5 linked regions of the Canis lupus familiaris genome follow. The protein of the gene in region 1 purifies or fractionates together with the protein of each later gene. This does not show direct contact. Links are inferred from orthologs where the notes say so. Each region holds a gene or a part of one and is shown in the gene's direction. Other genes may lie near its edges.

The links.
Region 2: the proteins of USE1 (region 1) and SCFD1 purify together in Homo sapiens (affinity purification with mass spectrometry; 3 studies listed by BioGRID and IntAct, counting the BioPlex papers as one, with this or other methods). This does not show direct contact. The link is inferred for Canis lupus familiaris from reciprocal best matches to the Homo sapiens genes USE1 and SCFD1.
Region 3: the proteins of USE1 (region 1) and BNIP1 purify together in Homo sapiens (co-immunoprecipitation; 4 studies listed by BioGRID and IntAct, counting the BioPlex papers as one, with this or other methods). This does not show direct contact. The link is inferred for Canis lupus familiaris from reciprocal best matches to the Homo sapiens genes USE1 and BNIP1.
Region 4: the proteins of USE1 (region 1) and STX18 purify together in Homo sapiens (co-immunoprecipitation; 4 studies listed by BioGRID and IntAct, counting the BioPlex papers as one, with this or other methods). This does not show direct contact. The link is inferred for Canis lupus familiaris from reciprocal best matches to the Homo sapiens genes USE1 and STX18.
Region 5: the proteins of USE1 (region 1) and NAPA purify together in Homo sapiens (affinity purification with mass spectrometry; 3 studies listed by BioGRID and IntAct, counting the BioPlex papers as one, with this or other methods). This does not show direct contact. The link is inferred for Canis lupus familiaris from reciprocal best matches to the Homo sapiens genes USE1 and NAPA.

The regions. Positions count from the first base shown.
Region 1 is NC_049241.1:45,915,981-45,921,035, reverse strand, and holds USE1 (vesicle transport protein USE1), read left to right. Parts: upstream 1-1,691; 5' UTR 1,692-1,722; coding exon 1,723-1,863; intron 1,864-2,188; coding exon 2,189-2,238; intron 2,239-2,395; coding exon 2,396-2,474; intron 2,475-2,563; coding exon 2,564-2,716; intron 2,717-2,977; exon of another isoform or gene 2,978-3,230; coding exon 3,231-3,243; exon of another isoform or gene 3,244-3,683; coding exon 3,684-3,711; exon of another isoform or gene 3,712-4,016; coding exon 4,017-4,191; exon of another isoform or gene 4,192-4,428; coding exon 4,429-4,611; 3' UTR 4,612-4,628; downstream 4,629-5,055.
Region 2 is NC_049229.1:10,128,110-10,132,536, forward strand, and holds part of SCFD1 (sec1 family domain-containing protein 1), read left to right. Parts: intron 1-1,525; coding exon 1,526-1,615; intron 1,616-3,494; coding exon 3,495-3,550; intron 3,551-4,427. UniProt on the Homo sapiens protein: Plays a role in SNARE-pin assembly and Golgi-to-ER retrograde transport via its interaction with COG4. Involved in vesicular transport between the endoplasmic reticulum and the Golgi.
Region 3 is NC_049225.1:40,179,487-40,183,913, reverse strand, and holds part of BNIP1 (vesicle transport protein SEC20), read left to right. Parts: intron 1-3; coding exon 4-95; intron 96-2,894; coding exon 2,895-2,996; intron 2,997-3,778; coding exon 3,779-3,897; intron 3,898-4,108; coding exon of another isoform or gene 4,109-4,179; exon of another isoform or gene 4,180-4,208; intron 4,209-4,427. UniProt on the Homo sapiens protein: As part of a SNARE complex may be involved in endoplasmic reticulum membranes fusion and be required for the maintenance of endoplasmic reticulum organization. Also plays a role in apoptosis.
Region 4 is NC_049224.1:70,427,080-70,431,506, reverse strand, and holds part of STX18 (syntaxin-18), read left to right. Parts: intron 1-1,421; coding exon 1,422-1,537; intron 1,538-4,427. UniProt on the Homo sapiens protein: Syntaxin that may be involved in targeting and fusion of Golgi-derived retrograde transport vesicles with the ER.
Region 5 is NC_049222.1:109,233,476-109,237,353, forward strand, and holds part of NAPA (alpha-soluble NSF attachment protein), read left to right. Parts: intron 1-11; coding exon 12-58; intron 59-1,285; coding exon 1,286-1,363; intron 1,364-1,620; coding exon 1,621-1,676; intron 1,677-1,783; coding exon 1,784-1,868; intron 1,869-2,707; coding exon 2,708-2,812; intron 2,813-3,878. UniProt on the Homo sapiens protein: Required for vesicular transport between the endoplasmic reticulum and the Golgi apparatus. Together with GNA12 promotes CDH5 localization to plasma membrane.

The DNA.
Region 1 (5,055 bases):
AGACCTCACATCCGAGGGACACTTGAATGTGGCCATCACTCTTCTGTCCACCATGCCCTGGACTCAGGAGGCTGGAGGAGGCTGCCCTCGGCACACTGCCCACTCCATGTGGCAAACAGGAGCCGCGACTCAGGACCACTCACAGGCAGGGAGGGCAAGGTTGTACATTCCTACTGGACAACAGTGACAGCCTGGGGCTCTCCGGAGTTGGGCTTCCCCTCTCTTAGGCTTGGCTCACTCCCCAGACACATGGCCACAGGTCTGGGATGAGAGGTGGGTGCCCCGGGTGCCCCGCAAGCCGTGCAAAATAAAAAGTGCCTGAAAGGTATTTGTGTGCAGTTCCTCTCAGACTGGTTCAGAGTCAGTTGGGGGAGGAGGGGCTGGCAGGTGGGGGTGGTCCACCCTGTGGCTTCAGCCAAGACAGATGCAGGGCAAGGGGCTATGTCCCTTGTCGGGGAGGACCTGCCTTGACACCCCCCGCCCCCAGCAAACACTGCTGTTGGAATTTCACATTACTCCTCACTCTGGAGTGGTGTGCTTGCTGGAGGTGCTTATTTATTAATCTGGAAATGGGGCCGGGGGGTGGGGGGACTGCCTCCTGTTGCCATGTTTTAGCACCCACCCTACCCCTACTTAAGACTTAAATGTCAGCTAAAAGGGTCATCTCATTATGAAGAGATCAGTTCCCAGTGGGCCCACCAGAGCCAGAAGGTACACACCCCATCCCCACCCCCACCATCCCCTCTCAGACCAGCTCCCAGTCTGCAGTAAGATGGGCAGCTGTGGGAACTTGCTGGCAGGTGGGGCCCATGGGGCTGGCGGGGGGTGGACAGTGAAGAACCCTAGTCCATGTGACACACGAGAAAGAGCTGGGAGGCTTGTCCGAGGCCACACATTTGGGATGGGGCAGGGCTGGGATTCAGAGCCTGCCCAGGCTGCCTCTAGTGCCCTATTTCATTCACCCTGGGTTTAGTCTCCTACATAGTATTTTGCGAAGACACCAAGCCCACTGGTGTGACCAGGACACAGGTGACGTCAGGGGTGGAAGATGGATGAGTGCTGCTTGCCAGCCAAGCTCCAGTACCTCTGACGTTCCAACCCCTACCCTGCCCTCCGCAGGCCAAGGGGTGCAGGGAGGTCACAGGATGGGCCTTGACTGCCTGAGGACCCAGGTGGGGTTCTCTCCATGAGGGTCTGACTGTCCCACCTCTCACCCCGAGAGCTAATGTCCCCCCTTGAGGCAGGCTTTGTCACACTGTACCTTTCCCAAAGAAGGAACCGGGCCCAGAAAATAAACTTCCTCAGGGCCTCTGCGGTGGGGGGGATGGAGTCGGTGTCAGGGCCGGAAGCTCATAACCGTAAACTCTGGATGGGCCCCTAAGCCTCGGATTCCTGCATCCCAGGCCGTACCCAGGCAAGAACCGGGTAGGGCTGCCGGGGTACGGGAGAGCTCGGCGTGGGAAGAACCGAGCTGGAGACGGCGTGAGCGACGAATGGACCGGGTCCGTTTAACCCCTCCGGACGGGTTAAGACGCTTGAGAGGGGAAAACGCCATCTAGTCTCGAGTAGATACGGACAGTACAGCGCCTCTCCCTAAAACAACACATTAGTCCCCCCCCGCCCCCAAAAAACACATTAGTTCCGCCCCCAAGACGCAACAGCGAACGAGTGGCGGACGCGCCCGGAAGAGGCCCAAAGAGGGCACTTCCGCCCTTCTCCAAGATGGCGCCGGCGGAAGGGGCAGGGTACGGCCGGGAGATGATGGCAGCGTCGAGGCTGGAGCTGAACCTAGTGCGGTTGCTGTGCCGCTGCGAGGCGATGGCAGCGGAGAAGCGGGACCCGGAAGAGTGGCGTCTGGAGAAGGTGAGGGAAATCTGCACTGTCAAGTGGAGCTTGACTTCCGGGGGGTGGCCTCCGCGGTAGCGGACACCGGGCCCCGCTCCCCCGTCCCAACAACCGCTCTGGCCACGCCCCTTCCGGTCGGTCCGCCACGTCCACCTGCAGCGCCCGCCCCATTCCCTAGGGTTCATCTGGCCCCGCCCCCTCGGCGCGTGTCTCCTCCCCCTTTAGGCCCCGCCCCATCCTGGCCCCGCCCCTTGTTGGCCCTGACAGCACTCCCTTTGGGCAGGAGAGGGAGGAGTGGAAGGGTATGGGGGACCAGGCTGACACCCCCACTTTCCCTTCCCAGTACGTGGGAGCCCTTGAGGACATGCTGCAGGCCCTGAAAGCCCAAGCAAGGTGAGTGCAGGTGGCTACAGGGGCTTCAAATCTGGGATGGGAATCAGGGCCAGGGCCAGCTCCTGTCAGGGAATCCCTGGGCTCCAGCCCCTGCTGAGATCCTTCCCGGAACTAGAGACAGTGGACAGGTTTTCTTTTTCCTCTTCTCACCTTCCAGCAAACCAGCCTCTGAGGTGATCAATGAATATTCCCGCAAGGTGGATTTCCTGAAGGGGATGCTGCAGGCAGAGAAGCTGGTGAGCAGGGGTGCTCTACTTCCTCAGCCCTCATCACACTCCCTGCCGTGGACCTGCCCCTCCGGTGACCCCTCTTCCCCCTTCTGCAGACCTCTGCCTCAGAGAAGGCACTAGCCAACCAGTTCCTGGCCCCTGGCCGCGTACCAACCACAGCCAGGGAGCGGGTGCCTGCCACGAAGACGGTGCATCTGCAGTCACGGGCACGATACACTAGCGAAATGAGGAATGAGCTGCTAGGCACGGTAGGGCTGCCTTCCTCCCTGGTCCCTGGTCCCTGGTCCCTGGTCCCTGGTCCCTCTGGTCAGGGATAGTTTAGTGCCTGGGTGTGGCCAGAACAACAAATGCTGGCAGGCATAGGGACACTAGGGAGCCCAACAGCCTCTGCCCTGGGCCATCAAGAAAGGCCGAGCCAGGACTTTGCTAGATGGATAGGAGTTTGGTCCGAGGCAAAAATGGTGCCTGTCTAGTTGGCACCCCAGAGTTGGCCCAGAGCATCAGATGAGTTTGCCAGTTACATGACTTTATCTCATCTTGCCACAAATAGACAAGTTTTTCCATCTGCAAAATAGGACGGCAAGTGTCTTTTTGAGCCTTTTATGTGGATCAGCTAAACCCTTCAAAATATGAAGAAACTGAGATCCTGAGGTCATGGGACTTGCCGGCGGGGGGTTGTGGGGGCAGAGTCTGAGAGCAGAAAGGATAGTTTGGGGTGCAGGACAAGGCAGGTGACTTCATGGCTCTCCCTTTTTCCCATAGGATTCTGCTGGAGGTGAGTCACCCTGAGTAAAACAGGACTTGAGGCTTAATTGTCACGCTGCCTCACATCCTGCGCCTGGCTCCCCTGGGGTCTCCCACAGCCCAGGGAGTGTAGCCCCAGGGGTGTCACCTAGCTGTGCCTGATGGGGATGCCAGGACAGAGGAGCTGGCCCCCAGAGGGAAGAAAGCTGGATACCCCCAGGCCGCAGGGCCAAGGGTAAGCCAACAGAGGGGGCCTGGGGCCTGGGAGAGCCCAAATAGAAGTGAGGAAAACTGCTTAGAAGAGAGGACTTTTGAGCTAGAGCTTTGAAGCATGATCAGGAGCTCGCTGGGAAGCAGATAAGACAGGAAACGACATGATGAGTAGCAGACACATCACAAGCAACCATCAGGAAGCTGGGAAACAGGAAACCAATCTTCTCCTTCTTCCTGCTTGGCCTTTTTTGCTTCCAGAGCCCAAGCTGGATGTGAGGAAGAGAATGTGAGTGTCTTCAGCCCTTGGGGGGAGCACGGGGATGGGAAGGGTGGAGGGTGGAGGGTGGGGCGGGATGAACCTGGGACCACTGAGGCACCAAACCATGAAGGCCCCCGCAAGCATCTAAATCACCGATCAGAAGCCACTTCTGGGGATGCTCTTCCAAAAAGCCAAAGTGAAGAAGGGGAAACGGAACCCTACGCAGGGCAGGGGCTGGAGCCATAACCTCTGGGCTCCCTGGGAATGTGTTGGTCTCTTCCCACTCCTCCACCCTGTCTCCTGCCCACCCGTCCACCTCTGTGTGAGGTCAGCGGGGTGGCAGGGCCCAGATCAGGGGATGAGAAACAGTCAGCAGCCGAGCTAGACGTCGTCCTGCAGCGGCATCAGGACCTCCAGGAGAAGCTGGCGGAGGAGATGCTGGGCCTGGCAAGGAGCCTCAAGAGCAACACGCTGGCCGCCCAGAGCGTCATTAAGAAGGACAACCAGGTGTGAGGGCCGGGGGAACTTCCTAGCCTCTGCCCGGGGACACCAGAGATGGCTCCCCAGCAGAGGGGCCTCGTGGCCAGGGCTCTCAGATGATAGAAGTTTGACAGAAGGCAGACGTGGACCCCCCAGCAGAGAACATAGTACTAGCAAGGGCCAAGAGGAGCAGACTTGCCCCCAGGCGGCAGGGAGAGGCCACACTTGGCCACAGTCCCGTTGACCTCCCCACCTCGCCCACAGACCCTGTCACACTCCCTCAAGATGGCTGACCAGAACCTGGAGAAGCTGAAGACCGAATCGGAGCGGCTGGAGCAGCACACACAGAAGTCGGTCAACTGGCTGCTCTGGGCCATGCTTATTATCGTCTGCTTCATCTTCATCAGCATGATCCTCTTCATTCGCATCATGCCCAAACTCAAATAAAGACCTGTGCTGGCCCAGCTTGTCTAGCCTCTGTCTTCCCTCCACCCGTGTCCAGGGCTGCCCTTTGGGCTGGACAACAATACGGAGGCTCTTTGCAGGTTCCTGAGAGCCACGGGGAACGCATGAGCAGGAGAGAAAGGTCAGTCTGGGAGGAGTAGTGACCCAGCAATACCCCCCCTTCAGTCCCTCCGTGGTACCTACCCCACACTGAAAAAGGCCACGTTCCAAGAAGACACAGGAGCCCCCGGCTGGTAGGGTCAGAGCCAGACACGGTGCCTTCAGCCTGTCCGGTTGCGGTGAAGCCCGGAGGGTGGGAGGGGAATGGGGATACCTCTGGACGTCAGCCTGGAGGAGAGAGCGTCAGTGCTGGGCCTTGCTTGCGACTGAAGGTGAGAATTCAGAGACAGGACTTAGTCCAGCCACAACCTGAGCTCTCAGGAAACT
Region 2 (4,427 bases), on another chromosome or scaffold:
GGTATTACTATTACTATTTACGTTTTCCAGATGAAGTAACCAAGGAACTAGATACTGAGTAACTTGATAAGGAAATGGTAGAACCGGATTACTAAACCCACTTCAGACACAGTGCTCTTAACCATTATGTAATTATGTGCCAAATCCTCTCAAATATCACAAGTATTTTAACTGATAATCTTAAGCAGATTAGCCCAAACATGTTATTATTGTGGGTTTTATTTATATCACCTACTTTTCATGGATTGGAAATTTATTTATCCTTTTAAAGGAAGCAGATTTTATCTTCCCAAAGTCAGGCTACTATCTCAAACCAAGTTGTTAACATAAGTGAGTTGAGGTTATTGATGGACAATTTTTTGACCCTTTGGGTTAGTTCTGATTTAGAGGTGTGAGACCAGGGTGTAGGAGGGACCTAAGGGCTAAAGGCTTCCATTTGGATTTTACCTGTACCATTGATTAACAAAATGAGCTGAGTATTTCCCTTGTTTGGTGTCCCTTGAATTTACATGATTCACATTGTATCTTTTAGCCATTTCTGTCTTCTGATTTGAATCTGCAACATCAAGTAGCAGCACCCTCCCTCATCCAGATTCTGTATTGCCTGGTTGAATTCCTTATTATTTTATGCTCTCTGGATGGCCCATACTTTCTTTAAACACTTTGATATATACGGCTGGAATCTGTTTTCCTCTCATAATAATCACAAGTTATATTGAATTTTGTTTGTTTGTTTCCAAATTCAGAGTGTTGGGAAATTAAAAATATAGATATTTTAGTCTGATCTTTTAACAAATGTTTATTGAGCATCTACTCGTCAAATACTAAGCATAAGTATTGTAAGAGCTGAGAGAGGAGTAAAGCAATATCTTTGTCAAGTATAGTCTTCACAGCAGTGTTTTTGTTTTTGTTAATGTAGCTCTAAGAGTCATCTGTGGTGCTAATCAGAATTGCAGATTTCTTAGAATTATCCAGATCTATTGAATTGAATCCCTGAGAGGAAAAGGCTAAGAATCTTGAATTTTTATTCTGGACAAACTTTCTCTTTCATATTTCTAAAGTGATTCTTATACCCACTGAAGTTTGGAACTCACTTAGGTACAGTATAGTAATCAGAAAAGAAATTCATATAACTTAACTACAATACAAGAAAAATGATATGGGACACTGGTCTTATAATAATTGATTGGCATTGTCCTTTCTGGCAGTACTTGGGTAAGAAGTTCAGTAGTTTCTTGAGGCCATCTAGTGTTTGTGAATGAAAGTATGGAATATGATATTTTTTACTTGCTCTGGCAAAAATTTTGTATACTTTTTATGGCAGATTTGTTTTCTTAGCACTACTATGATTTTGATACTGTTCAGTACTACAGATACTGAAATGCTGTGCAGTTTTTTTGAGGTATAATTTTTAATGGATATTTATTCACTTAAAGGTGTAACATAAAAAATTTTACTTTTTGAGTATTACAAATGTTATCAAGACGTAGAGTTTGGTAAGTTTTTTCTCTTTATGTTATTTTAGCCATTAACAGACCAGATATCACAGACACAGAGATGGAAACTGTTATGGACACTATTGTTGACAGCCTCTTCTGCTTTTTTGTTACACTGGGTAGGTCCTCAAATCTTTCTGGTTATTTCTCAAAATGTTTAATATTCTATTAGGAAGAATTTCAAATACACTTTTAAGTATAGAGATAAATATAACTGTTAAGGCACACTCCCAAGGTTCCAGAAAACACTAAATTTAGTATACTATTAATCCACTGTACTCAGAATTTTAAACCTTTTTTTGGTACATCTAAATTTACTTAGAGCTACTTTGTGTTCAGTATCTATTGTGTGATTTTTATGGTTTCTTACTAGTAGATCTCTTTAGAAACCTTCTAATTGCAATTTTAATTTTGCAGACACTGAAAACCCCATTTAAAGTGATCCTTACACTAAATTTTTAAAGTTTCTCTTTATTTCACAAATGAGAAAATTGAGAAGGGAGATACCATGAATAGTTTAGGATACAGTCAGAAGTTTTTTTTTTTTTTTTAAGATTTTTTTTTAAATTTATTCATTCATGAGAGACACAGAGAGAGAGAAAGAGAGAGGCAGAGACAAAGGCAGAGGGAGAAGCAGGCTTCATGCAGGAAGGCCAACGTAGGACTCAATCCTGGGTCTCCAGGATCATGCCCTGGGCCCAAGGTGGCGCTAAACTGCTGAGCCACTTGGGCTGCCCCACAGTCAGAAGTTTGAAGAGAATTTGCATGCAAGGTTTGGGCCTCCCTTGTGATTTTCTCCTTTAAAAAATCCTGCCCTGAATGCCAGGCTTGGATTCTTCTGTTTTCTGCTTGAGCTCTTTCTTTTCTGTGCCTTGCAAACTAGAAAGTACTCTCAAGAGAAAAGCTAGTTAAAAATGTATCTTAATTTTTAAATATATCTTTTCTTTCAAAATTTTACCCTCCTGCACTTTCTGCACTTTCAAATATTTTTAGTACCTTCAAGTGGGGTTGTTATTGCTGTTGTTTTAAACAAAGCACATGTATATGCAATTTTTAGTCATTAAACTGACATAATTAACCTTTCTATTTTGCCATCCTACATATTCTCCAAGATTTCACTGAATGCAAGGGTTTTTGTGAACATTAAGGTTATTTTTTCTTAACGATAGTTATATTTTCAAGGTAAAGGTAGATTGAAAAAGATAAGTATAAAAGACCATGGAAGTGTTAAAGCAAGCTTTCTTATAGAATATCAGAAAGTGATTTTTTCAAGAGTAATTGAAATTACTGCCCATCTGACATAGAAGGATGTCAACCAGAGATTAAGTGAAAAAGGCAAATTTAAGAACAAAATTTATCCTATTTTTTGTACTCTTCACAAATACATTTATTTAAAACTACATGTAAAAAATAATCTGAAAATATCCATATCTAATTCTCAAGGGGGATTATTTTATTTTAGGGTGCTGGAACCAAAGGGTTAACTTTATACATTTCTAACATTATTTAGAGTTTTTATGACAAGCATGTATAACTTGCCATTGGAAGAAAGCAGTTTTATAAAACTTGCTAATATTCTACAATTTTTTGCAGTTGACTGAACGTTTTGTTTAGAATCTAAAATGCAGCAGTTTCAGCATGTTAAGATTACAGTATTCTCAGTTTGTTTTCTGAGATATTCAATGCAATTGGATTTTTTTCTATCATTTTAGGATTTCAGCCTTTGATAAAACTTGGAGTAATAAACAAAGAGAAATTAAGAGGTCTAATGAGCTGATTCAGTAATGAGCTGAGGCCACCTTTTAGAACCTTTCATATTAATGGAAGATATGTTTTATCTTTTAAGTTATTTTTTTAACAAGACTATATTCCTTCATTGTTAATTTGTAAAATCAAGAATAGTACTACCTTTAGAAGTTTGCTTCTAAATTAAGCTCTTTTCATTCTTTTCCGTTATTGAAAGCTAAAAATCATTGCTAACATCTAATGTTAAAATAGGTGCTGTTCCTATAATCAGATGTTCAAGAGGAACAGCAGCGGAAATGGTAGCAGTGGTAAGTTCATACAGATATCCATTGATGACAAATAACATTGTATCAATGTTTTCCGTAAGTACCTCAAGTCTTTTTGTTAATATGAAGTATATGATTGCTATGGGCCATATATTAAGTACCAAAGGCAAATCTTTTTTACAACATTGAGATTACACCAAAAATAAGAAGTAATCATTGTATAGTGTTATGGGGTGGAGAAAAATGATTTACTCCAACATGCTAGTCCAGCTCTGTTTCTTTTTTACTAAAATGTATATTTTCTTTCTGCCTTGTTTCTCCAAGTAGTTTTTATACTTATTTGATCCCCCAGGTCATTTTATATTTAACTTCATTTAGTAAATGTTTATTGACAATCATAACTTTATTTTTTTTTGACAATCATAACTTTAAAATGAAGCCATTTGCTCTTCCACTATATTGGAGTAAAATATTCAATATAAATTGAGCATTCAAAAATTTGCTTTAAAGATTAAAGAGTAAATAGAGAAATTAGAAAAAATAGGAAAGATCAAGTAGTATGGAAAGATGGAAGATACACTAACATTTTTTAATTTTATTAGCTGAAATGAATCATTGACTGATGGAGGGCTGCTTTCTTTCACATATTCCATTTCTGTTCTGGAGCCTCTTGGATCTGTCAGTAGATAGAGACATTCTTTGTAAAACAGAGTCATGATTGGGTAAGAAAGTGGCTCATTACTGCAAATCGTTCCTGTACCTAATATAAAAATAGTCAGTGAAAAGTGATTGTTAGTGAAATCAGGCCTGAGTCACAATAGAAAAGGTATTGATCTTTTCAAGTCCAAGTTATAATGATATGAAATAGTAAAAAAACTAAAATATTTAGATTTTAGATCTGTTATTTTGTAAAGAAGTT
Region 3 (4,427 bases), on another chromosome or scaffold:
AAGGAGCTTGAGCAGTCAGCTAAAGAGCAAGACAAAGAGTCAGAGAAGCAAGTTTTGCTTCAGGAAGTGGAGAATCACAAAAAGCAGATGCTCAGGTAGGTGGGGCCTGCGCTGGGTCACCTGCTCCCTGGGCGGCTTGTATAAAGGTTTGCCTAACAAACCTGGCTTAATGATTTAATTGTGTCATTTCTACACAAACTGAATGTCCTCTCTAGATCAGTAGTTCTCAAAGCAGGGACAAGCAGGGGTTGTTGGTAGGTCAAATTGTATATAGTTTACAAAAGCGTATTTACCATTATACTATATTTTATATTTTTAGGACAAAACCAAAAAATGATTGCTTTTGTAATACAACATCTTTTTCTGTAAGGAAATTGCTACTAGAAAAAGTTCCTACTTAAGATGGACCAAAATTTAGAAAGCTTTGAGTGGGACTTTATCTTAAAAAATGAAACAAAAAATGTAAATAAGATTATGCTATGTTAAACAAAGCGGTGGTTATCATTGTAGCAGTGGGCTAACCTTTGGTTATATAATTGAAGTATGCACTATTTCTGGATATTGGGGGGGGCTTTTCCAACAAAATTATCTGATGGCATGAAACAGCACCTGTCCCTTCACATGTGACTTGTATCATAATCATAAAGAGTGTTGTTGTGACAAAAATATTTAAGGCTCAAAAAAAAAAAAATTTAACGGCTCCATCAACTTTCCCCATCGTCTGGTAGCCAGGTCATTCTCTTTTGAAGCCCCTGTTAGTCATCATCCTCCTAGGTGTTGCTCTTTCTCCTTATTAATTTGCTCTAACTCTGTTGGATCTGTATGTCTCTCGTTTTGCCTTCAATGTGAGTAATTCTCCAGCATCATCCTTGGCAGGCAGCTACTGTGTTTATGACCCCCAGCCCTTAGGAGGAGACTGACAAACATGTGGGCATGGTAGAGGCTAGTATAAGTAGGGAGGGATGTGTGCATGGTCACCAGTGTTAAAGTGCTTGGCTCAGTCGGAGTACTTTGTGTCATGATGGCGTTTGCTTCCCTCAGCCACCAAGGATACTCACATTACAAACACTGAGTAAAGAGGACCCCTTGTATAAAGTAGAGTAAGTTACACCAGATAAAATGGGCTTAGTTAGCATGGCTAGGAGTTGAGAATGGCCATTCATGATGTAGGGTTACAGGGGAGAGAGAAAGCAGTAGATGAATACTTTGGCAGTTGTGTGTGAAAACAGTAGTTGCGCCTGCCTGGATTCTCGTGCTTATCACACCATTCAGCAAATATTTGTTTGTCTTTCTCCCCAGTAAATGTGAGCCCCTTGAGGGCAGCCACTATGGCTCATTCATCTCTGTGTCACAGGGCCCAGCAGAACTTCCTTGCTAACAATTAAAATATGTAATTGATTCTTTTAAAATATCAGGTGTGAAATGGCATAGCAGATGCTGTTCTGGTGACAGAGAGCTCGTTTTACATTTTAAGCACAGAGGTACTCTTAGAAAAATACCGTATCAGTTCACGTTTGACTTTGGTAAACATCTCAGGGGTTAGCACAATTGATGTGAACCAGCTGCCTAAGAGTTCTAGTGCTTGAGTTTGATTCTCCTAGGGGCCCAATTAACATTTTTATAGTTCATTGACAAAGGCTGCACTGCTAACCCCAGGGAGCTGTTCATCAAATTTGAGTTATCTCTCATGAGGGAGATCAGGTAAAGAATGTAAATAAATCACATCAAACTGCTAATACAGTGTGTTTATCTCGCTCATGATTGGTCTGAGTATGTAAAGAACAGCAAATCTTAAAGAAATATGGAGCAAAACCAAAGTGTTAAGTTACTATATTGTACACCTGAAAGTAATATTACACTCACTGTATGTTAACTAACTGGAATTTGTTTTTTGTTTTTTTTTTTAGATTTTAATTTATTTATTCATGAGAGAGACAGAGAGAGAGAGAGAGAGAGGCAGAGACATAGGCAGAGGGAGAAGCAGGCTCCACGCAGGAGCCTGATGTGGGACTCGGTCCCAGCACTCCAGGATCACGCCCTGACCCAAAGGCAGATGCTTTAACCGCTGAGCCACTCAGGAGTCCCACTAACTGGAATTTAAATGAAAACTTAGGGGCACCTGGATGGCTCAGTAGGCTGAACATCCAACCCTTGATTTTGGCTCAGGTCATGAGCTCAGGGTCCCGAGATCCAGCCCTGTGTTAGGCTCTGTGCTGAGCATGGAGCCTGCTTGAGATTTTTTCTCTCTCTCCCTGTGCCCCTCCCCATGCTCTTGCTCTCTCTCTCCTAAATAAATAAATAAATAAATAAATAAATAAATAAATAAATAAATAAATAAATAAATAAATAAAATTTTTTTAAATAAAAACTTAAATATTGAGGAAAACTGCCTTCCTATGATTTTTCTACTTCTCATAATATCTATTGATTGGCTAATGGGCCAGAGACTGTTGTTCTAGGTATTAGTGATCCAAAAATGAGTGAGATATGGTCCTCAAGAAATGGAACCAACTAGTACACAAGGTAGAACATGGTAAAATGGTAAAATGTTAGTGGTAACTGGACAGAACAGGGCCTCAAGTGCCCAAGGTGAGTTTGAAGTCTGAAGCCCTTGCCCGGCTGTAAGCACAGAAGTAAGTACTGTGGCCAGACTGCTCCCTCTGGCTGCCCTGGAGGGAAAGGGACAGCTACAGGCGGCTGGGCAGGGTGAGACCAGAGGTGTAGCCTAAGCTGGAGCAGTTGCCGGGGCAACCAAGAGGAGGAAATGGTGGGAGGCAGAGATGGATGACTCTGTAGGCCACTCTGGGAGGCCTTTCCCATCACTCCCTTGCCAGAAGGAAGAACTTCTGTTCTTTGATCTGACAGAAACTCATGCAAGACCCTTCTGATTCCAGCAATCAGACCTCATGGAGGAAGGCTAATCTCACTTGCAAAATTGCTATCGACAATCTAGAGAAAGCAGAACTTCTCCAGGGAGGAGACCTCTTAAGGCAAAGGTATCTGTCTTTTTGTCTTTCTGGGCCCTAATGATAGAACAGATAGCAATTGGCAAGGTGCAAAACCTGTGTAGGGAAGCCCTTCTTGTTTTCAGTGTAAAACTGGTAATTAATTTTATTATATAGGTAATATTTTTTAAAGTATGAAAGAAATACTGGCTTATTTGTAATAAATTGGTAAAATAAAGGTGTCGATGACAAAATGAACTATACTGTGATTGTGTTGTACACATTTTGATATATATTGTGTCCTCCCACCATTTTTTTTTTTTTACAGAGTCCTACCGTATATAAAACTTAGCGCCCTGCTCTTCTTCACATAGTATTATAGCACAAAGACTTGCTTGTTTTAGAAAACTCTTTAAACAAAGGTTCAAGAGTACTTAGTATTCCCTTGTATTGGCTGATCCCCCGTTTGTGTGTGTTTGCATTTCTAGTTTGTCAGTATTGTAAATAATACACAAGGGCACACCTTAGGACATAAGGCCTTGTCCACATTTTGGGTATTTCCTTTGTAGAGATTCCCAGGGATGACATTATTGGGCCAAAGGCATGAATGTTTCTAAGGCTCCTAATACTATTTCCAGATTGCCAGTTTGCATTTCTACTAGCAGTCTTTAGGAGTGTGGTGTCAGCATACCCTTGCTGGCATTGACTGTGATTATTGATACTTAAATATATATGCTATTTTGATAGATTAAAAAAATGGGATCGCATTTGAAGACGGGCGTTGTCTTATAGCCAGCTTTTGTTGACATGCCTATCCCACTCTGGACTTTTAGGAAAACCACCAAAGAGAGCCTGGCCCAGACATCCAGTGCCATCACGGAGAGCCTCATGGGGATCAGCAGAATGATGTCCCAGCAGGTCCAGCAGAGCGAGGAAGCCATGCAGACGCTAGGTAAAGCCAGATCAGGAGTTAGAAACTTCTCCCAGAGACTTCAGTTCCAGAGTCCTTGTCCTGGCACCTGCCACCATGCTCTCCCACCTTTGTCCCCATCCCCACCCTCATCCCCAAGCTTACTGACTTGTGTGGCTTCTCACTTCTTCAACACTGTGGTATTGCCCGGGGTGGGATATGTTGCTCTTACTTCTCTTTTTGGTTTTTATAGTTGTACTACAAGATCTGCACACCCCCGTCAAAATGTTTCCCCAGCAGAAGCATTCCCAAGGTCTCATGTGAAAAGCCGAGATCCCCAGGCCTTCTGGAGAGTAGGTGCTAGCAGGACTCGGGGAAGGGCCTGGGCATCTGTTTTTTTTCCTCTGGAGTTCTGTGGACCCATGTGGCCAGGCAGGTTGGGGAATCATTGCTTGGGAAGATGTTTTAGTGTATCGGCTGCTGGCTAGTCTGCAAGGGCCTCAGCTTATAATTAATACTCCCCAGTGTTATTTTTGCTGTAAGCTCCTTTTAAAAGATGCAATCAGAGGCCA
Region 4 (4,427 bases), on another chromosome or scaffold:
TGAAAGGCTCTAAAAAGCTGTAGAGTAAAATACCCATCCTAGCTTGGACTCCACTTTTCTCAGTCATTTGACCAGAAGCCCCTTTTCATGGAACACGATGGATAGAATCTACTTTCCATGGAGCAGCCGTTAAGGGCATGCCTCTGAGGTAGGTTCCCTAAGTCACGGCCAGCCCAGCCAGGTACTGACTGTGTAACCTGGGGGGAGTTTCCTCCCAGGATACTAATTTCCATATAGCTCCGTTTCCTCCTCTATAAGAAGGTCTTTAATACCATTACCTACTTTATAGGGATGTATGGCATTAAATAAGTTTATCCATATAGTGTGCTTAGAAAAATGCCCAATACATGATACGCCCACAGTAAATGTTAGTTGGCATTAACAGCGTCATCCTAATAAGTATTTACATTATTCTTTTTCATTTATAGGCTTCCTGGCTAGTAATATGGAATGCATCATAGATCATTTTCGCAGTCTGCCCATAATTTTTGTAGTGCTATATGGATTCCAGGAAAGCTATTAATAAGGTTTATTGTTTCATAATCAACAAGTTCTTTCTCTTACTAGTTACTGACCGTTATAAGGTATCCATTCATTCAACCTGTATTTATTAAACACTGAATGCCAGACACTCATCTAGGACCCAGGGCTGTGCAGTGACCATGGCCCATAGCCCAGGACCCTGCTCTGCAAGTGTGCCCTCCAGTAGAGCAAGGCAGGCAATAAACAAGTGAACTAGCAAGTCATCCGAGACTCTGGTGACTCTTCATAGCTATGAAGAAGATAAGGGCTACGGCACAGTGTGATGTAGGGGAGCCTGTTTGAGATCGGAAAGTCAGGGTAGGCCTCTTTGAATAGGTGAGATTGAGCATAGACCTGAAAGTAGAAACTAGTATAGCCAAAGGAGGACCCCTGAGGCAGATGCCAAGGGCAGAGGCCTTGGTTCCTGAGACAAGTTGCTTCCATCTGGTGGCTATTTAAAGACTTGTACTTTCATAGTTAACTTATTTAAGATATTACTTATATATACTACATAGAGTGTGTGTGTGTTTGTGTGTGTGTGTGTATTTAGCAACACTTTGCACTGGTGTGAAACAACCAGCTTCCTGGACTTGTTCAACAGTCAGCCTTCGTCACACACCTGTTAAGTGCGGCGTCAGTATGTGGGGCAGGTGTGTGCATTCTTTCCTTCAGCACCTACTGGCTGCATTCTCCTCCCTTCCCCTACTCCCTGCAGGTGGTGACACTGGTTCCTTCTAATAAGTGCCCCACTGGAGGTGTGTTGGGATGGCCGCTGGTTAGCAACTCTGCTCTTTGGCAGAGGGCACAGGACACGTGTGCAGGGGTCACATGTGACTCCCTCTGTTGTCAGAAAAGAATCTTGTGTCAGCAAAGTATATGATTGCTAATTATTTGTTTAGATCTAAGTTGGAACCAGAACCACATACAAAGACAAGAGAATCCACGTCTTCTGAGAAAGTTTCACAGACCCCTTCACAAGAGTCTGAAGAAAAACCTGTCACTGAAGAATGTCCAGGTATGAACTGAAATAAAAATCTTGCCTTCCATCTCTTGCTTATGATGTATTGGCAAAAATACAAAGCAGAAAAAGGAACACAGTCCTAGACATCTTATGTTTGCACTTTCATAAAGCAAAGGAAACACAGAAGGGGAAACCTTTTTTCTACCCCAGTTGGAACTGTTGGGACAGAGCAAGAGGATTCCTCCAGTCACCCAAGAACAGCAGAGTCCAGGGAGAGGGCCTGAGTTGCTGTGTACCACTAGGGTGGGGGCTGGGGACTCAGAACCAGGAGCAGTGTAAGAGCTTTGTGCTCAGGGAATTTTGCCTGCTGGTCTCAGGAAAGGTAGGGCACTGCCTCCCCTGCCTCCACATGGTGCCCTATCCCGTGATCTCAGCATCCTGTTAGCACCAACCTGTGTTCCACCCTGTGTGGCCTGCACATGCTTACTTTGCTGTGTCTCAGGTGTAACAGGCATAAGATTTTGCTTTGCGTAAATCCCAGGATGACAGCATGCTGAGGCCTCAGGGGCCGGGTGTCTTCCTCAGTCCCCTTGTCCATGTTACCACAATGGCTGTCATTTACTGTGCATCTCCCAGATGCCAGGCACTGCCTTGAATCTTTACAGACACCACCACCACCATCCTTAGAGCAGCCCTTTGGGATGGGTTTTGTGGTCCTGTTTTTGATGAGCCTTCTGAAAGGCTTTGAGAGGCTGGGAAACTTAAAAACTCATGAATTGCAGACTCGGATTTATATGCGGATCTGTACTGCCTCTCCATCTGATTCAGAACACAGTGTAGGAATGAGCACCTGAAAGATGCCAGGGGCCCTCTCCATGGTTGGGAACAGTGTCAGTGGGGAGAGGTGGGGAGACCAGGCTCAAGCGAGCCCTGCAGTGTGCTGGGCTCATGCAGGGGCTTCAGCAGCAGATTGGGTCTCATTGGGTCTTTTGAGGTGGTGCTATCGTCATTTTACATGTGAGGAAATTGAGCTTGGAAGAGATTATATAACCTGTTCAAAATCAAAACCAAGAAAGGGGCAGTACTTTTTTGGGGCCTGAGCCTATCTTTTCTGCTGGCTACTTTGACCCCATGGGCCAGAGGACTGGCACAGACATCACTCATGACCTAAGGGAGCCCAGCTTTTCATAAGATAACACATAGGGATATCCTGTCTCCCTCATTTACTCCCAAACTTACTCATGGCAGACACAGCATATTCGTCCACTCACTCATTCCAGAAATACTGTTAGGGCTGATGATAATGGAGAGAAGCCAGTACAGATTTTTCAAGGCCCAGCTGAGGGTAGATCCCCTGTGAAGAACTCTCTCCCCTTGCTGAGCCCTGAGCCCATACTGAGTGTTGCTGTGCTAGGCATTGTGCTAGGTGCTAGCGACAGTAGTGAGTAGAAAATAAGACCCCTCGGCTCATAGTCCAGCAGATGCTAATAGAATAATCACACAGATGTATACAATCATTGTATGTGCCATACAATAGAGGGTCCTGGTTGTAGGAGAGATTTGGCCTGTCAGAGAGGTTGGAGAGCTTGGTGTTTCAGTAGAGACCCAAGGGCAGTGAGGAGTGAACCCTATGTCTCTCTGGGGGAAGAGTCAGAGTCAGAGGAAACCAGAAGTGCAGAGGCCCCAAGAAGAGAGCCTGCCTGGCCTGGTGGATGAGCAGCATGGAGGCTAGGGAGCAAGGGGAGAGGGCAGAGGGATACCAAGTAAGGAAACACCAAGGTACCAGGATGCTTGAGGACTGTGGCTTTTATTCTGAAGGATGTGGGAAGCCATGGGGGGGTTTGCACAGAGCACTTCACAGCCAGCTGTGTTTGAGCAGAGCCCCTTTGGTTGCTCTCTTGGAGAAGAGAAGTAGAGACAAGAGGCTGCTCAAGTCACCCAGAAACAAGATAATGGTGGAGCATGACATGCCTGGTAGCAAGGCAGTGGAGGGAGAGTGCTGGAATTCTGGTTACATTTTAAAGTAGAGCCACAGCATTTGCTTCCTGTATACGGGACAGGCAGGAGGGAAGGGCCGGGGAAGGCTGTGGTGGTTTTGACAAGGGAGAAGTTTGCTGTCCTTCACTGTGGTGCAGGAGATTGGTTTGACCAGGGACCCAGTGCCAGGCATATTAATTTTGAGGTGCCTCGTAGAGATGTTGAGCAGGGAATGGGGTTTACAAGTCTGGAGATCAGGGGGCAGGTCTGTAGGCAGCATCAATCCCCTGAGACAGGCTGGGGTCCCTCCCCCTTTCCCTTTCCCCGAGTGAGGAATGAGGGTGAATAAAGGGAGGATGAAGGCCTGAGGCTCCCAGTTACTTTCTGTCTTCCCTGCTTTTTCCTTCTTCCTGGCACGTGCCACTACCCTTCTGTTTGTTTTACTAGGGTCTGTCCTTTGTGATCTGTCTCCCCTACTAAAATGGAGGTCCCGTGAGGACAGGAATTTCTGTGTTTTGTTCACTGCTGTAACACTGACACCCAGACAATGCTTGACACATAGGAGGTGCTCAGTAAATCACTGAAAACAGTGAAAGAGGAAGGAGGAGAGGAGGGAGGCAGGGAGGTGACCTGGAACATTGCCTTCACTTGCCGTGGAAGTGTTTCCTGATATAAAAGGAACCTAATGCCTCTGGGCAATAGGATATATGCCACCAGAGTGAAAGAACCCTTTTCCTCACAGTTTAAATTTTCTATTTTAAAGTCAGTGTTTGCTGTTTTATAATCATGAGTTTATCTCCTGACGAAGCCAGCCCACCAGATATTGAAAGCGAACTCTCCAGTTCAGCTCCTAATTCCTGTATAGGAGACAGGACGGTATGAAGAGAGTCTCTTTTGAGGCCATCATGATCCCAACTCTAGCACCACCTGGCACCTGTGAGCACCAGTTCCCTCATTTTTAAAATGA
Region 5 (3,878 bases), on another chromosome or scaffold:
TCTCTCCCCAGAGGCCATTAACTGTTTGATGAGAGCGATTGAGATCTACACAGACATGGTAAGGGTTGCTGCCTGTCCTGTTCCGCTTCCTGCCCCACCATATTGCTCCAGCCTGCCCTCCCCAACCCTGGCACGAAGAGCAGGTAGGAGGGGGTGTGAGAGTGGAGGGAGTCTGCTCACCTGGGTTCTGGCAGCCCAGGGTTGGCTCAGCCCTGGCCCTGCCCCTGCCCCAGGGGACATCCCCATGACAGGAGAGGCCCAGAGGCGCCTCCGCCCGGGAGCCAGGACCAGGGACCAAGACGAGGCTCAGGCTCCTGTCCATTCTTGCTGCTTGTCTCTTCAGGTCCCATCCCCAGGCGGGAACACAGTCCCGCCCCCTGACAGACCCCGGGCAATACTGAAATATTGTAGTGAGCACAGTGATAGCCACTACCATCTGTTGAACCCGACATTGTCAGCTGAGTGGTTTAATCCTCCCCTTCGATAGCCCTGCGGGGTGGGGGCCGTCCTCCATGTGACAGAAAAGGGGGGCCCAGATGAGTGATGTGACTTGCCCAGGGACACATGCCCACAAGCAGAAGTTGCTGAGACCCAGAACTAGGCCTTGCTGAGCTCAGAGCTTTGCCCTTTCCTGATGTCCCTCGGCAGGGGCAGGGGCTGTGGAGCAGCCCTGCGTGCCGAGTGGGCAGCCTGGCGCCTGGACGCCCACCGGGTGGAGGCTGGGGGGCTCAGCCCCTCTGGAAGCTAGAGAGCTAGAGGCTTCCTTGGGGAGAGCCATCGTGTCAATGGGGGAAGCTGGGGGTTGGCCTGTCAGTGGGGCGGCCTCCATGGCCACATTGGGGGCAAGGGGAGGCTTAGGAAGGCTGTCCCCTCCGCAGTAGGGATGCCTGGGCTGTCAGCCTGGTTTCTCCAGAGTGTTTACAGGTGATTCTAGGCTGGTCTTTCCCCCTCTCTGGGCCATCTGTCCCCAGGCCAGGCCCTCTGCCTGGTACCTGGGCCCCATTACCTCTGGCATTGCCTCGTCAACCTGTATCCCTGTGGACAGGAGAAACCCGGAGGCTGAATGTGGAGGGGTGTGACAAGGTCACCCCATCAGGGCTCAGTGAAGCCTCCCATTGGAGGCCTGTGCCCCTCAGTCTCCCGGTACCCTCTTGTACATGCCTCATTTGTGTGACTGAGGTGCAGGAACCCACTGGTTTTGGGGGCCCAGAAGAACAAGGAGGGGCAAGTGGGACGCTGGGAACATTACTCCATCAAAAAGGACCCCTTCCTGTGTCCCACCCAGGGCCGGTTCACGATCGCGGCCAAGCACCACATCTCCATTGCTGAGATCTATGAGACGGAGCTGGTGGACATCGAGAAGGTGAGTGGCAGTCGGTGGCCCTGCCTGGCTGACAGTGGGGGAGGACTGCAGCAGCCTGTCTCCTCAGACTGGGGCTTGTCTGTCTGCTCTCTCCACCTGAGGCATCCTCTGGTGTCTGAGTACCAGAAAGGGGGTGTGGCGCACCGACAGAACTTGGGTAGAGGGCTCCTGCTGTGGCCCAGGCAGGGCCGGCCCTATGGTGGATCAAGGTCACATTGCCACCTCCTCACGCCCTGCCTCTCCCCGTGTCTCCCCAGGCCATCGCCCACTATGAGCAGTCTGCAGACTACTACAAAGGAGAGGAGTCCAACAGGTACCGGCTGTGGGCACCCTTCCCCCTTCCCTATACCCACCCCACCCCACCCCTTAGCCCCCAGGCCAGCCACCACTGACCTCTGTCTCCTCCGCCCACCCTTACAGCTCAGCCAATAAGTGCCTGCTGAAGGTGGCTGGCTATGCCGCACAGCTGGAGCAGTATCAGAAGGCCATTGACATTTATGAGCAGGTGGGGACAGCCAGGGCTCTGGGGGAGGGCCCTGCACCCCATTTGCCCTTTCCTGATGTCCCATCATCTGCACAGTGCTCCCTCCCTCCCCCTGGCCACCTCTCCCCTCCCCTCCATCACCATCCTGGCACTCCCCTTGTCCTCACTGGCTAAACAGTTCACCACCCACAACCCCACAGGGAGTCCCCACCCTCTCCCTGTATGCTTCTCACAGAAAGCTTCCTGGGGGGGCCTGGGGGCCCAGAGGGAGTGGGAAGAGAATCCTTAAGGCCTGGGGTAGCCAGAGGGAGCTGAGGAGCCCACAGGGAGGGGTCAGAAAGCTCGTCCTTCACACACCATGGGAGTGACAGGGAGGGAGCATCACGTGGGGGCGCAGGCTCCCCTGGGCTGTGTGGGGAAGGCTGGGCGGTCCTGGTGGGTTCAGCTTGGCCAAGAGAAAGGCAGGCAGCTGGCCCCGGAGGAGTAGGGGGCGGGTGCCACCTCTCATGTTCCCGCAGCCTGCCGCCCCTCTGCCCACCGACGTGCCAGCCTCCTGTAGGGCCTGACAGCGGGGCCGCCTCCTCCCCACCATCTCAGGGGGTGGGGGGAGCCCACCGACACCGGGCTTTGGCCCTGTGACAGCACTCGCCCCCTGCCATACCCTGGTCTTTGGCTACCCACACACCACCGGCTGACTTCCTGGGGCTGGCCCTTGGCCTCCCTGCCCTTCGGGTCCCGGGTTGATGGGGCTTCATCCGGGACACAGATGAGGCTCCCAGCCGGCCCCCCGGTGCCTCTCAGTGACCCTGGCTCTCTGGCTGCCTGCCCAAGCTTATAGTGCCACCACCGCACCTCCACAGGTGGGGACCAATGCCATGGACAGCCCCCTCCTCAAGTACAGCGCCAAGGACTACTTCTTCAAGGCGGCCCTCTGTCACTTCTGCATTGACATGCTCAATGCCAAGGTGAGCTGGGGCCCAGTCGGACCACCCAGAGCGTCCCCCACCTCCCAGTGACCACCGTGGTGCACCATGTTTATCACTAGATCCCTTAATAGGGGTGAGCCCTCCCTCATGTCCAGCACCTGCCTGTCAGCTGTGGGCAGGAAATGCTTGTTCTCGCCGATGTGCTCCTGTCCCAGGTGTCACCTGCCCAGTGTCTGTAGCTTTTGAGTTTATCCAGCTTCTCACTTACTTGGTGCCAGTGAGGGAGAGCACACTTTGAGTTTTTGCTGCATCCCTCGAGGTCAACACCACTGTCACCTGTTGTACAGATGATGACACTGAGGCTAAGACACAGGGACCCTTATTCAAGGTCACATGGCTGGATTCCAGATCTTTCTGACTCCCAGTGTCATGATTTGAACCATAGTTTGCGTGTCCACACCACCCCTTTTGAGGGCTGTTTGGCAAGACAGGGGTGAGTGGTGGGCGAGGGGGTGGGGAACTGCTGGGGGCAGGGAGCTGGAGTCTTCCAGGGTTCCACATTTCCTGGGGTCTCCAGCCACCGTGCCCTCCGCCACATGGAGTGTCTGAGCCCCACCACCACCCCTGCTCCCACTGGCTGCGTGTAAGAGCTCGCTCAGGCTCGGCCTCAGGCTGGTTCGCATCCCTGCCCCCATATACCCTGTGCCCTGAGCAAATCTTTCAGAATGGGGGTCACTCATTCCACCTTCCCTGGGTCCACATGATGGTTAAATGTAAGAAGTACCCAGCACCAGCCCTGCCCTGTAGGATGTATTCGTAGGAGGCAGCTGTCATTTGTGCCCTGCCCTGGGCACTGGCCTAGGAGCCCCTCCCCACACTTCCTCCACACAAGCTGTCTCTGCAGCCAGGTTTGGCCAAGTACAGCCCCAGGGAAGTACCCTCCAGGCACAGAGCCAGGTGACACTGGGGGAGGGGGAGGGAGAGGGGCGCAGAGCACTGCCTGGGGCCAGGTGTCTCAGATCCCCTTGGCTGTCAGGCCAGTGGCTCCAGTGGCCCGTCTTCATTAGCTTGTCCCCTTCCTTCCTTCCTTCTTCTTTTCCACCCT